Linked DNA regions of Canis lupus familiaris. The protein of the gene in region 3 interacts with the protein of the main gene of each other region in a pairwise test. Links are inferred from orthologs where the notes say so. Each region holds a gene or a part of one and is shown on either strand. Other genes may lie near its edges. The genes, in order: FRYL, EAF1 and HOMER3.

Region 1 (3,745 bases), on a different chromosome or scaffold from region 3:
GGAAGAGCGGGCTTTTAGAAGGAGCCTTTGGCAGCAACATGGAAGAGGCTAAGAAGACAAAAAGGAAGCTCTGGCAATAATCCAGATGATAATGAAGAGAGGCCTGAACCAAGTTAAGTGGCTCTGGGAACAGAAGGCAGGAGAGACTAAGGAAACTGTAGAAGGTAGGACAACACATTTTGATAAGTGGCTGGGGGCAGGGGAGTAGGGGTGGCGAGTGTAGGTGGTGTATTGGTGAGAGAGGGCTGTTGATCCACACCTACTTTCTGGCTCAGGGAGACTGTGGGTACAGTACTGTCTACCATGGTGGGGAACATCCTGTCATTCAAAACTGAACTCAAATTCCTTTCCCTGTAAGTCTTCTCTGTCCCCTGTGGTTCAATAGGATTCCTTTGGTCTCCTTACTCCCCATTCTTGTCACATGTAACAGTCACGTGGTAAGTCATGATGCATATGCAGCAGCACTCGGTTAACTTCTTACTGTTAACTTTACATGCATATTTACTCTCTGATGAAACTAGAAGCTCCTTATGAGCCAAGATCACATTTAGTGGTTTCAGTACAGTATATGCTCAATCAATGTGAGCTGATTCAAGTGCTGGATTATGAAAACAACCCCTGGAAGAGAGAGGTAACTACCATCCTTCTCTAGGGTCTTAAAAATATTTTTATCTTCTCTCTCTCTCCTTTTTAAATACAATAAAGGGCCAAGGGAAGATTTTAAAAAGACTTCCACAGATACTGGTAAAAGAAAAACAGTCTCCCACTTTTGGGGCTAGAACGACCTAGTCAGGGTCTTGGTGAACGACTTTGTCTCTCCTCTCCACATTAACCTATTGCTTTACAACAGTAAAAACACCTTCACGAGATGTGGACCATGACTGCCCAAGGGAAACGGGATGCCCACAAACTGAATCATTAGAATACTAATAGCTAACGACAAAGGCTTTACAAACATCTGTTTTTGGTTCACTTCTGGATTCAGGGAATGTGATTACATGAGATTTGGCTGTGGCTGGTTACAGGGTTAGGGCAATGACATGTAGAAATGTTTAAATGGTCACAAAACAAAATAACCACATAATTCACAAGTATCTAAGCAAACTAAGTTTTTACAAGACAAGCTCAGGCTGTGATATAATCTAATGCACTGTTCTGATACAAGAGCCCATTAGTTAGAGCTTTATTATCACTATAAACCTGTCTTACTATTTTTTAAAAGTACCTGGTAAGGATGGAGGAAGGAGGGACAAAGGGGCAAGAGAGATTAGAAACTACAGTCGGTTTTAGTAAAAATGCATTCTGTATTACCCTTTTAAGTAGTAAAAGTACTTCATTTAAATTAGTAATTACAATTCAATTGTAATTCAATTATAATTCTAATTATTTAGAATTTAATTATTTTATTTATTAAATAATTTATTTAATTATTTTTAATTTATTTAATTATAATTATTCAATTATAATTCTCCCAATATTTTAATTCACTTAGAAACTTTCCTAGAACTAAGATAACTTTCTGCCATCTGGCAGAACAACATCTCCATATGGAAGAATTACTTACAGATCAAAAATAAAAGAAATACGGAGATTGTAAGTGCAGTATATTTGGCAAAATACAAATCTCTTCAAATTCTATTCTGTAAGGCTTTCCCTTAAGAGGTTTTCTCCCCCTATATCAACATTTGGCCTTTTACATTATTTGCTTACAAAACTATGCTAAGTAAATATTTTGGTAAAGAGTCAACTGGAAAAAATTAAATTTAGGTCTTTCATATTTTATTCAGTAGTTTGCTCAGACACCAGCAGCACAGTTGGGAGCAAGAACAACTCAGTTCTAATTCCAGTTCTTTGCCACTGTATGACCTTGGTAAAGTCACATTTTTTCCCCTATGTTTTAGTTTTCTTTGGCCAAAACAGACATTACAACAGAATCTTTGCTCGATTACTCCATTAGTTTGATATCATATTATTATGATAATTTTGACCAAAAAAAAAAAACACAGATTGTGGTAATAAATCATTTCTAGAAGTGCTTTCAGGTCTTCAGAGAAAAGTACCACTGGAAAATACTAGAAATACTGAACAAAATCAGGATTTCTGTCAAATTCACATATTGGGAAGGGAGTTATGGACAACATGACAACTCAACGACATTAGTTTTACTGACCTACCTGAACTTTGAATGTTCCTTATCAGAAAACTCACTACATACAGGAAAAATCCTCCTAGTAACTTCAATTACAGGAGTAGGGGAAAACTTATGAGCATTATATTAAATCATCTGATGCTTTCAGACAGCTGATGCTGCTTCAAACAAACATTCTGTCCTAACAGAACTGTGGAATAGTACTGGTATCTGAGAACCCTGCAGAGGTCGGAGTCTATCTGTCATTTCCCCCCCTATGTCGGACCAATGGAGAGAAACTTTGCCAGAACCATACAAAAAATTAACAAGAAAACCAACGCTGGTCAATTTCAGTCAAAGACTATTTAACCGCCAATAGTACGACTGCCCAGTGTGTACACATCCAGATTTTCTAACCCTCTCACTGACTACCATCCAAGAAAATACTCCTCGTGTTATTTTCAACAGCTCTGATTCTATTTGGATTGGTCTAAAGGATTAGCATGCAAGGAATGGCCATGATCATACATCAGCATTTCTCCCATTTAGGAATATATATACTTACAGCTGCTGCTCCAGGACTTTAACAAGGACTTTATGCTAATTTCAAAAAACACAGAATCCTGTAGGCTCAACATTGTGTCTCAACTGGGCTGCTACAGCAGCAGCAGCCTCCGGTTTGTTGATCTATCTCTCCAAGCCGCTGTCCCTTCTCCTCTCCCAGGCAGCAGAGTTTTGGCCCACAGTGCTTTGGCTTCATTACCATGCAGTCTCGCAGTGACGCACAACTATAGTGGAAACGCTGCTGAATGCAGATGAACTATCCAGTTGAATAAAAGCTTACAAGTTTATTACAAGTGCCCTGAAGGACATCATCACCTTTCTTTAGGTAGGCATACACGTGGCCGCAAGAATCTTTCTCTGCTTCTGCTCCCGGGCTTATCAGTTTTGATGAGCTGTGTGTCTCCGGCTGCCTTCCCTGTAGTCACTACTGACTGCTAGTAAACACACAAGGGTAGAGCTCTGCCCTTGGATGCCAACTTTTCTCACTTAAGGGCCTAAGGAATAAAAATAAATTCAGGTCTGGCCTAAGAGCTTTAAATCTCTTCCTATAACAGCTGACCAAAAAGAAAAAGAAAAAAAAAAAGACTCAGGGGTATTTATCCCACTCCAGTATCAGTTTTCTCTAGGTGATTTCAGTAGTACATTCTCTTCTCTTTGCCCTTCTACCTTACTACCCCCAGGCAGTAAGCAGTGACTTTCTCAGCAGGGTTATGATACCGAGTCCACGGCCTCACTGAACCCACCAGAGAGAACGCTGGCTAAATGGGATGAAAAGATGATGTAATGAACACTGTGGCTGAGCCCCCATCGGCCCTCTAAAAACTGCTCAGCTCAGGACAAAGTTTCCTCTGCTTCATGCAACTTATTCAAAAGAGGGAATTCTGTTATAGTAATGGGATTATTTCAAAATATAGGGCCTTCTATTCTTAATATAGCACATAATTCCCCTAGAAAAGCTTACAGTTGGAATATCAATGAATAGTGAGAAATCTTCTGGTCAAATAAAATGCACATTTTCAAAACTTTATTCTATAGAAATGGTTTTAAAAACTG
Region 2 (3,745 bases), on a different chromosome or scaffold from region 3:
TGCCAATCTAAAAGAGGGGCTATGTATCCAGATAGGAACCTGGTCTACTTTGTAGCAAATGGGGGGAAAAGGGAGATTGGGGAAAATGGCAAAGAATCATTTTTACTCAAGCACTTGGGAAGCATGAATTCCACCCTACCCCACCCCCAAAATTCCTTTTTTCCTTATGTTGGAACTTTAGAAATCTAGAAGTTTGTAAATAGTAGGAAATTCAAATCGCAATAAAAGAATATGAGGATTCACTGTGATTCCACAGTGCATAAACTTACAGGGATATGTGGCAGTGTAATTGTGACTTCATCTCCTTTGCCAACCTGAAGCTCTCCTTCGCATGAAGTATCTATAGATGCTGGCTTAAAGTCATCTAAAGGGAAAAGCAAAAGAGCATTTATCCACCAAGTTACTTATACTAAGCCTCCTGGGCATTCTTATTTAAACATTAATTTTTTTTGTCACTCCAGATAAATGCAAAATACAAATTTAGAATTAAAAAAAAAACCTATTTCATTGTGGAAAATTCCACATATACAAAAGCAAAGAATAGTACAATATGAGCCTCGGTGTCCTGTCACCCAGCTTCAATAATTACCAATTTAGGTACAATTTTGTTTCATCTATACCTCCCACATATTTTCCTCCCATCCCCACTGGATCATTTTGAAGAAAAAAAGCTAGAATTCATATACCATTTTATTAAGCAAAGATACTCCCTTCTCCCAAGTGACAGATGAAAATTAACGCCCCATTATCCATAAGGTGTTTTATTAGGGTTGTTGCGTACAGGATCAAAAGCAAACACAGCATTTTTGAAAGATTCTCTGATTGTTAAGCCCAGTATGAAACATGGAAGGCCACAGTACCACATAAACTGATTTCATTTTGCAAAGAAACTCAAAATCAGAATTTGCCACACTCAACTTCTATAGCTTTAACAAAAATAAAAACACTCTTGTAAAAGTACAGAGCAGATGGCTGAACTGCACCTCCAAAGGTTAATCCTGCCCACATCTCTCAACTGCTGCCAAAGTACAACATGAATAGTCATTTTTCTCCATTTTGACATACACTGGTCTCAAGCTGCAGGCCAGGTGCTTATGTGAAGCCTCTCAAATTCCGCACTGCCCTTCACCCTATTAAACCATCAACTAAGGAAACTGCTCAGGAAATGATGCTCCTGTCACATTCCCCACCCACATCTACCCTCTGAGAAAGCCGATCTGCTGTCAGCAGGAGACACGGTAATGGGAAGGCAAGTGACCACGGAAAGATGGAACTTCATTCTCCCAACACGCCCTCTTCCAATGTGTTGAGTCACTTTTATTAGCTCCTTCGACAAAAACAAGTCTTAACCAGCACGAGCACTACCAAGACGGGAAACCAGGAGCTTGTGAATCACAGAGGGATGCTCCAGTCAGCCCATTCCTAACAGCCGAAACTTCACGCAGGGCCTGGAGTGGACGTGCCCTCCCTCCACAGAGTCTGTAATCACGCAGAAAAGGAAGGTCCAGCATAATGACTACTTGGCTGGTCTTTAGGCCTCCTCCTCGGCTTCCAAACATAGCTCACCAAGCTTTAACTTACTCCAGGCTCACCAATGCTAATTTTATTCGTCGCCCACATGGGGCTTGGTACGGGGTTTAAGTGTGGGTAGGATGGGTGACCTCAAAAGACAGCAGGGTCCGACGAGGCACGCAAAGCTAGAGGGGGGAAGACGCTGACGGAGCGCACGGGGGACGCGGATTCTCGGGCTGCCCAGGAGATGGAGCGCAGGCTCGGGGTGGCCCGAACAAAGACGGACGAGGCAAGAAGGCTGAGGAGGGCAGGGAAGAAGGGGATGGAAGGGGAGGGAGGCGACGAGGCTCGCGAGCAGACGGGAAGGGCCCTTTAACCGTGGAGGACCCTGGCGGGGCCCTGGGAAAGGGGGATGGCCCACAGGCGACCTGGAGGCCGACGTGAGGTCACGGTCTTTCCGTAATAAAGAGGGGGGGGGGTCAGTTTCGCATAAGGAAGGGCCGAGTGGGCGGACGAAAAAGCAAGGGGGCCGACCACCTTCGGAAGAAGTATCTGGGATCACAAGGCACAAGAATATCGTTGGGGGTGACGGAGGGTTTGGTTTGGAAGCGAGCTGGGAAAAAGGAGGGGTGGGGGCGGGGGGACTGAGGTCCCGGAGGATCGAGGGGAAGAGAAGGGAGCTGACGTGGGCAGGGGCTTCCAGGGCTTCCAGGGCTTCCAGGGCTTCGGGGGCCGGGGGCCGGGGGCCGAGGGAGGGGTCGGGCTGGCAAAGGCGGGGCAGCGGCCGAAAGGGACGCAGGGGAGCGCCGGCTTACAGCGAATGGTGTGGAAAGAGGCCCGCGGCCGCTTCTCGAAGCTCTCCCCGAGCCGCAGGCAGTGCTCCTCGCGGTCCAGCAGCGGGTTCGCGGTCCCGTTCATGGCCCTCGCCGAGCCCCGCGCCCGCACCGGCGCTCTCCCCGCGCAGCCGCGGCCCGAGCTTCCGGCGCCAGCGTCCGGGGGACCGACGCTCCCTGGGCCGCGCTCCGCGGCGCGCGGCGAGCCCAGCCGGCGCCCACCCGGGGCCGGAAGCAGGTCCTCTCCTCGGCGGCGGGGCGGGCCGGGCGGGGGAGGCCTGCGCGGAAGCAGGGCCGCGCGACTTCCGGCGGCGGGGCGGGACCTCTGCGTCCGAGGCGGAAGTGGCGGGGGCGGCGCCATGGCTGAGGGTTCCGCCGGGTGAGGTGCCTGAGGCGGGTTTGTCCCCGCGTGGCGGCTCCCCTAGCCGGGCTGAGGGCCGAGGGCGTCCGGCCCTCCCCGATCAGGCGAATGTAAGAACCGACGACGGTGAGCCCGAGAGCGCGGCGAACTAGGTGAACACGGGCCCGGTAGCCAGCGTGGCCGGCTCTCCGCAGGCCCTGGCGGCCGCGGCGGCCTGGTTTCTCCCGAGCGCCCTCCGCCCGACGGCTCCGGCCCCGCGCGTCATTGGCCTCTTCTCCCTCACGCGTTAATGGAGGAGCCGGAGCCCCAGCCCCTGGAAAGCGACGCCCCCACTGGTTCGTGAGACAGCTTCTTGGGAGTGCGATCAGAGACTCAGGCCGCCGGGCTTGGCTCCAAATCTCCCCCCTCCCCCAAAGCGAGTCTCCGATCCTTGGGCGACGGTGACCCCACTTGACCGCCTGTCGCCACCTCGGGAAGCTCTCATGGTTGTTTTAAGTCGCCCCTCGTCGCGGGCACCGAAAACCGATGAGCGTCTTCTCCCTAAGGTTCCTCAGTCAGTCCTTGGGCCTGTCCTTTTTTAAAAAGCAAAGCGGTTTATAATAGTTGACTTGTGGTTCGGTGCGTGAGAGTCCTGGCCGTCTGTCTGAAGGTAGGGACTGCGTCTTGGTCTTTGTGACCGACCTCTTGTGTAGTGGGCCAGGTTGTGTCGAGTCAGCGTCTGAACTGTTTGGTGACAGAAATGTTCTAGAACCACCAACCCAGCGTCTTAAAAACTGTTCTAAAGCCACTAACGGAATCTCCTTTCTCCTGCACAAGGGCTCAGTGCTGCCTGAGAAATCCAATCAGGATTAATCCAATCTTGAGAAACTGCATCCGAAAAAACCCTGCCTCTGTATGTCTGCAATATCAGCTTGGAGTCCTCGGGTTCCTCAGGGATGGAGAGTCCTCAGCACTGTTAACAGTAATGCCTGTCAGTTGAGGAGATGGCTTCTTTGCAAAGAAAAGGGCTGCAGGCAAGGATTCTCAGCTCTGAAGAAGA
Region 3 (3,745 bases):
CCTGGAATTCACCTAAAGGTAATTAGAAGATAGCTACCAGCCCAGATGATTCTGGTCAGGGGAAAACAGAAATAAAAACAGGGAAATGAGACGGGGCGGAGAAGGCAAAAAGCAAAATCTCTGAGATTGTTGGAAAGCTCAAGCATGAGGTTTAGGGCTTTAGGGAACTGTAGGCCTCGGTTTGAGGGAGCTGCAGTGCCTCTGTCCACGAACCCGATGGCACTGTGTGACTTTGGAGGAGTCCAGAGAAAGGGCAGCCACTGGACTGCCAAGTAAGTGGGTCCCACAGGCAGACCCTGGCCTGGGGAGGCTGATCCTGGCTCATCTCCAGTTGGACCCTCTCCTGGCAAGTGCCTGAAGGGTTCCCCCTGACCAGTGATGGCAAACCCAGGCCTGAGGACCTCCAGGAGATTTGCACAATTGGTGGGAGCTGGGCCCCAATATTCGCTCTACCCTGGCTTCTGAGACCCTATAACATAGCAATACTGATAATTCGACCATGTTGGCATTGTTACCTTCCTCTCCTGGGAGACAAGGTGGATAGAAGCCTCTCCCCAACAGGGGATTGGAGCTGGGGGGGGAGTCAGGCAGGAACGATTCCTAACGGGGCACCCCTGATCAAGTCTCATTAAGTGCCTACTGTTTGCCTCTCTCAGCCTCTTCTAGCTTTCGCCCAGCCTGTGTCTGTTTCATTTCCAGGCTACACCCACTGAGCACCTACTGTGTGCAAGCACCCAGCTCCGTGCGATAGAGGAGCCCCGGCCTCTAGATCCCTGTCAGGTGGAGAGGGACTCCCATCAAAGGCAGAAGGTCATGACCTCAGGCAGTGCCCCGAGGGCCAGGGCCGCCCCGACAGGACGATCAAGCCCCATCCTCCATCTGTCTGCCTCCTGTGTCTCTCCCTCATGTCTCTGCCTCTGGGTCTGGGTCTCTGTCCCCATCCGCCCCGGCCCTCTTCCCCGCTCTTCACCCCGCCCCCCGCCCCCAGGGAGTCCCGTCCCGCCCCGCTCCCGGCTTCCGCCCCTCCCTTCCCCCCCCCGCCGCGGAGGGCCGGCAGGGGGCGCTGCGGGGCGGCCTCGGCGGCCCGGGGAGGCGGGGCGGGCGGCGGCCGCGTCGGGACCGGCCGCGATGGGACCGGAGGCGGCGCGGGCGGCGGCGGAGGCGCAGACAAAGGCGCGGGCGGCGCGGAGGGCGGCGCGGAGGGCGCGGGCCCCGGAGCCAGCGAGCGAGCGGGGCGCCCGGCTGCGGGGAGTCGGCGCCGCGGGGCAGCACCCGACTCGCGCCCGGACACTCGCGGGGCGCCGAGCCCGCAGGGTGAGCCCGGCTGTCCGAGCCTGCGCGGGGGACGCGGGGGCCCCCAGGTGCCAGGGCCGGGGCGAGGGCGCGGGGGTCCCCGAAGTTCCGGGCCGGGAGGCTGGGGGCGGCCGGGGAGCCCCGAAGTTCCAGGGCTTGAGAGGGCGCAGGGGCCCCGAAGTTCCGGAGCCGGGGTCGGAGAGGGCACGGGGCGAGGGGTTCCCAAAGTTCCGGACCCGGCGTTGGAGGAGGCTGCGCTGTCCCCGACGTTCCCGGCCTGGGGTTGGGAGGCGGCACGAGAGGATCCCGAAATCACCGACCCGGGGCTGGAGAGCTGGCAGGGAGTCCCCGGAATTTAGAAGTCGGAGGTGGTGCGAGGGATCCCCGAAGTTCTGGACCCGGAGTCGGGGGGCATCGCGCGAATCTCGGAAGTTCCCGGGTCGAGGGTGGCACTTCCCGAAGTCGGGGAGCGCACTGGGCGCCCCGATTCTGACGCGGATGGGAATTCTTTCCTTACTGAATACCAGGCCCCCCAGCCCGGGGCGCATGGGGTGGGGCTTCGCCCCCACACGCAACTGGGGATCCTGGCACCGGGCGGGGTCCGGGCCTCCTCCGGGAGCCCCGCGGCCGGCGGCGACCGAGGCACATGACTAGTTGGTGAGTAACTTTCCCCAAAGCTGCAAGTCGCGGCAGGACCGTCAGGGCCGGCAGGGCCTGGGTTTCTGGGACCCCTGCACCCTGGAACCCTGCTTCGACCCAGGACTTGCTCCCAACCCGGGCCAGCGCTGCCGCCCCTCCCCCACACAGGGGCTCCGGTTTCAGACCCTGTGACCCGGGCAGCAGCTGCCCAGGACAGGGTGGGGGGGCAACCCTCCTCTGACCAGGGAGGCCGCTCCGCGGGGGGCCTCCCTTCCCCCACTGGCCACCTCCCTTCCCCAGGTCCCTCCTGGTCCCCTGCAGATCCCCCAGATGCAGGTTTTGGAGGCACAGAGGTGAGGTTAAGGAATTCTCCAGGGCAGCCATTCCTGGTATCTGTGAGGTCGTGGCTGGAGGCAGCAAGAGGGGCTGGGGATCTCCCAATCCTTGATGCCACCCAGCCCTGCATGGTATTGGGATAGAGTGGTCATGGGCAATCGGTTAGTGGGTACCAGGGTAAATTTGTTTGACTACATCTTCTTAACTAGGCTGGCAGCTCCCTGGGGATTTGGACTCTGCCTCCAAGTGTGCCTCTGCCCTAGAGTGGAAGCTGAGGGGTCCCTCTGTGGGATCTAGGAGGAACTGGTCTCCCAGGAGGCATCTGGTGATGGCCACATTTTGATGGAGATCCTGGTTTGGGGAGTGATGAGTGAATGTGGCAGAAAATACCAAGTAGGAGTTCACCTTGGCCTTCTCTATCTAGCACCAGTATTGAGGGGGTGTCACTCTGGGTTCAGTAACCAGCATGCTGACAAGTTTATGCTGGGAGATCCAGGGCCACCTGGCTCCTCTCGGAGAGTCATCTCCTGCTCAGGGTGTGTGGGGGCTTCCTCCCAAAGGAGAGGGACAGGGTGTTTTTGCTGAATGATCTGCTGATTCCTTTACCTTTCTAATTGAGGTTCTATGAATGGTGTGGCTGGTGGTGGGTCCTGAGGTTGGACCCGCTTGGTTTCCTTAAGCCTGTCCTGGGGAGACACTCACAATCCCTCTCTCCCCCCAGAGGCTGAACCCGCAGCTCCTGCCATCCCTCTGGCTGCCTCTTGGAGCCCACCCAACCCAACCTGACCAATGTCCACAGCCAGGTGAGCCCCTGCCTCCCCAGCTTGGCCCTGAGCCCCCTGGGGGATGCCTAGCCCCACTGAGAACCGTCTCCCCACGCAGGGAGCAGCCCATCTTCAGCACACGGGCACATGTGTTCCAGATTGACCCGGCCACCAAGCGGAACTGGATCCCCGCGGGCAAGCACGCACTCACGGTCTCCTACTTCTATGATGCCACCCGAAATGTCTACCGAATCATCAGCATTGGGGGTGCCAAGGTCCTGGCAGGGCCTGGGTGGGGGTGGCAGGCTCCTGAGGTCTCAGAGGCAGGTTTGGGTCTAGTCATTACCCTGCTGTGTGCCTGGGGGCTGGGGGTTGGGAGGAGCCCTTAAATCAGTCTCTGTCTTGAGATGGCTCACACCTAGAACCTCCCAAGAGCTAATACAAAGTGACACCCTGGGGGTCTCATGTTCATTATTGTCAGTCTCATCAAGCTTGAATTGTGTTCCCCCCTCTTCCCTCTTCCCAGGCCATCATCAACAGCACCGTCACCCCCAACATGACCTTTACCAAAACCTCCCAGAAGTTTGGGCAGTGGGCAGACAGTCGTGCCAACACCGTCTATGGCCTTGGCTTTGCTTCTGAGCAGCATCTGACCCAGGTGGGCTTGCAGGATTACATGGCGGGAAGGACAGGGCTGGCCCTGGGGTTCCTCT

Evidence for each region.
Region 1: the proteins of HOMER3 (region 3) and FRYL interact in binary tests that used the Homo sapiens proteins (3 or more experiments, as listed by UniProt). The two-hybrid records come from large-scale screens. The link is inferred for Canis lupus familiaris from reciprocal best matches to the Homo sapiens genes HOMER3 and FRYL.
Region 2: the proteins of HOMER3 (region 3) and EAF1 interact in binary tests that used the Homo sapiens proteins (3 or more experiments, as listed by UniProt). The two-hybrid records come from large-scale screens. The link is inferred for Canis lupus familiaris from reciprocal best matches to the Homo sapiens genes HOMER3 and EAF1.

Annotation. Positions count from the first base shown.
Region 1 is NC_049234.1:45,165,160-45,168,904, forward strand, and holds the start of FRYL (protein furry homolog-like), read right to left. Parts: upstream 2,807-3,745; 5' UTR 2,767-2,806; coding exon 2,694-2,766; intron 1-2,693. UniProt on the Homo sapiens protein: Plays a key role in maintaining the integrity of polarized cell extensions during morphogenesis, regulates the actin cytoskeleton and plays a key role in patterning sensory neuron dendritic fields by promoting avoidance between homologous dendrites as well as by limiting dendritic branching.
Region 2 is NC_049244.1:27,713,030-27,716,774, forward strand, and holds the start of EAF1 (ELL-associated factor 1), read right to left. Parts: upstream 2,509-3,745; 5' UTR 2,431-2,508; coding exon 2,328-2,430; intron 2,098-2,327; exon of another isoform or gene 2,019-2,097; intron 1,024-2,018; exon of another isoform or gene 1,009-1,023; coding exon of another isoform or gene 984-1,008; intron 365-983; coding exon 270-364; intron 1-269. Other genes in the region: tRNA N(3)-methylcytidine methyltransferase METTL6, read left to right, coding at 3,690-3,745. UniProt on the Homo sapiens protein: Acts as a transcriptional transactivator of ELL and ELL2 elongation activities.
Region 3 is NC_049241.1:44,587,825-44,591,569, forward strand, and holds the start of HOMER3 (homer protein homolog 3), read left to right. Parts: upstream 1-1,178; 5' UTR 1,179-1,314; intron 1,315-1,420; exon of another isoform or gene 1,421-1,950; intron 1,951-2,295; exon of another isoform or gene 2,296-2,989; 5' UTR 2,990-3,057; coding exon 3,058-3,071; intron 3,072-3,150; coding exon 3,151-3,307; intron 3,308-3,558; coding exon 3,559-3,690; intron 3,691-3,745. UniProt on the Homo sapiens protein: Postsynaptic density scaffolding protein. Binds and cross-links cytoplasmic regions of GRM1, GRM5, ITPR1, DNM3, RYR1, RYR2, SHANK1 and SHANK3.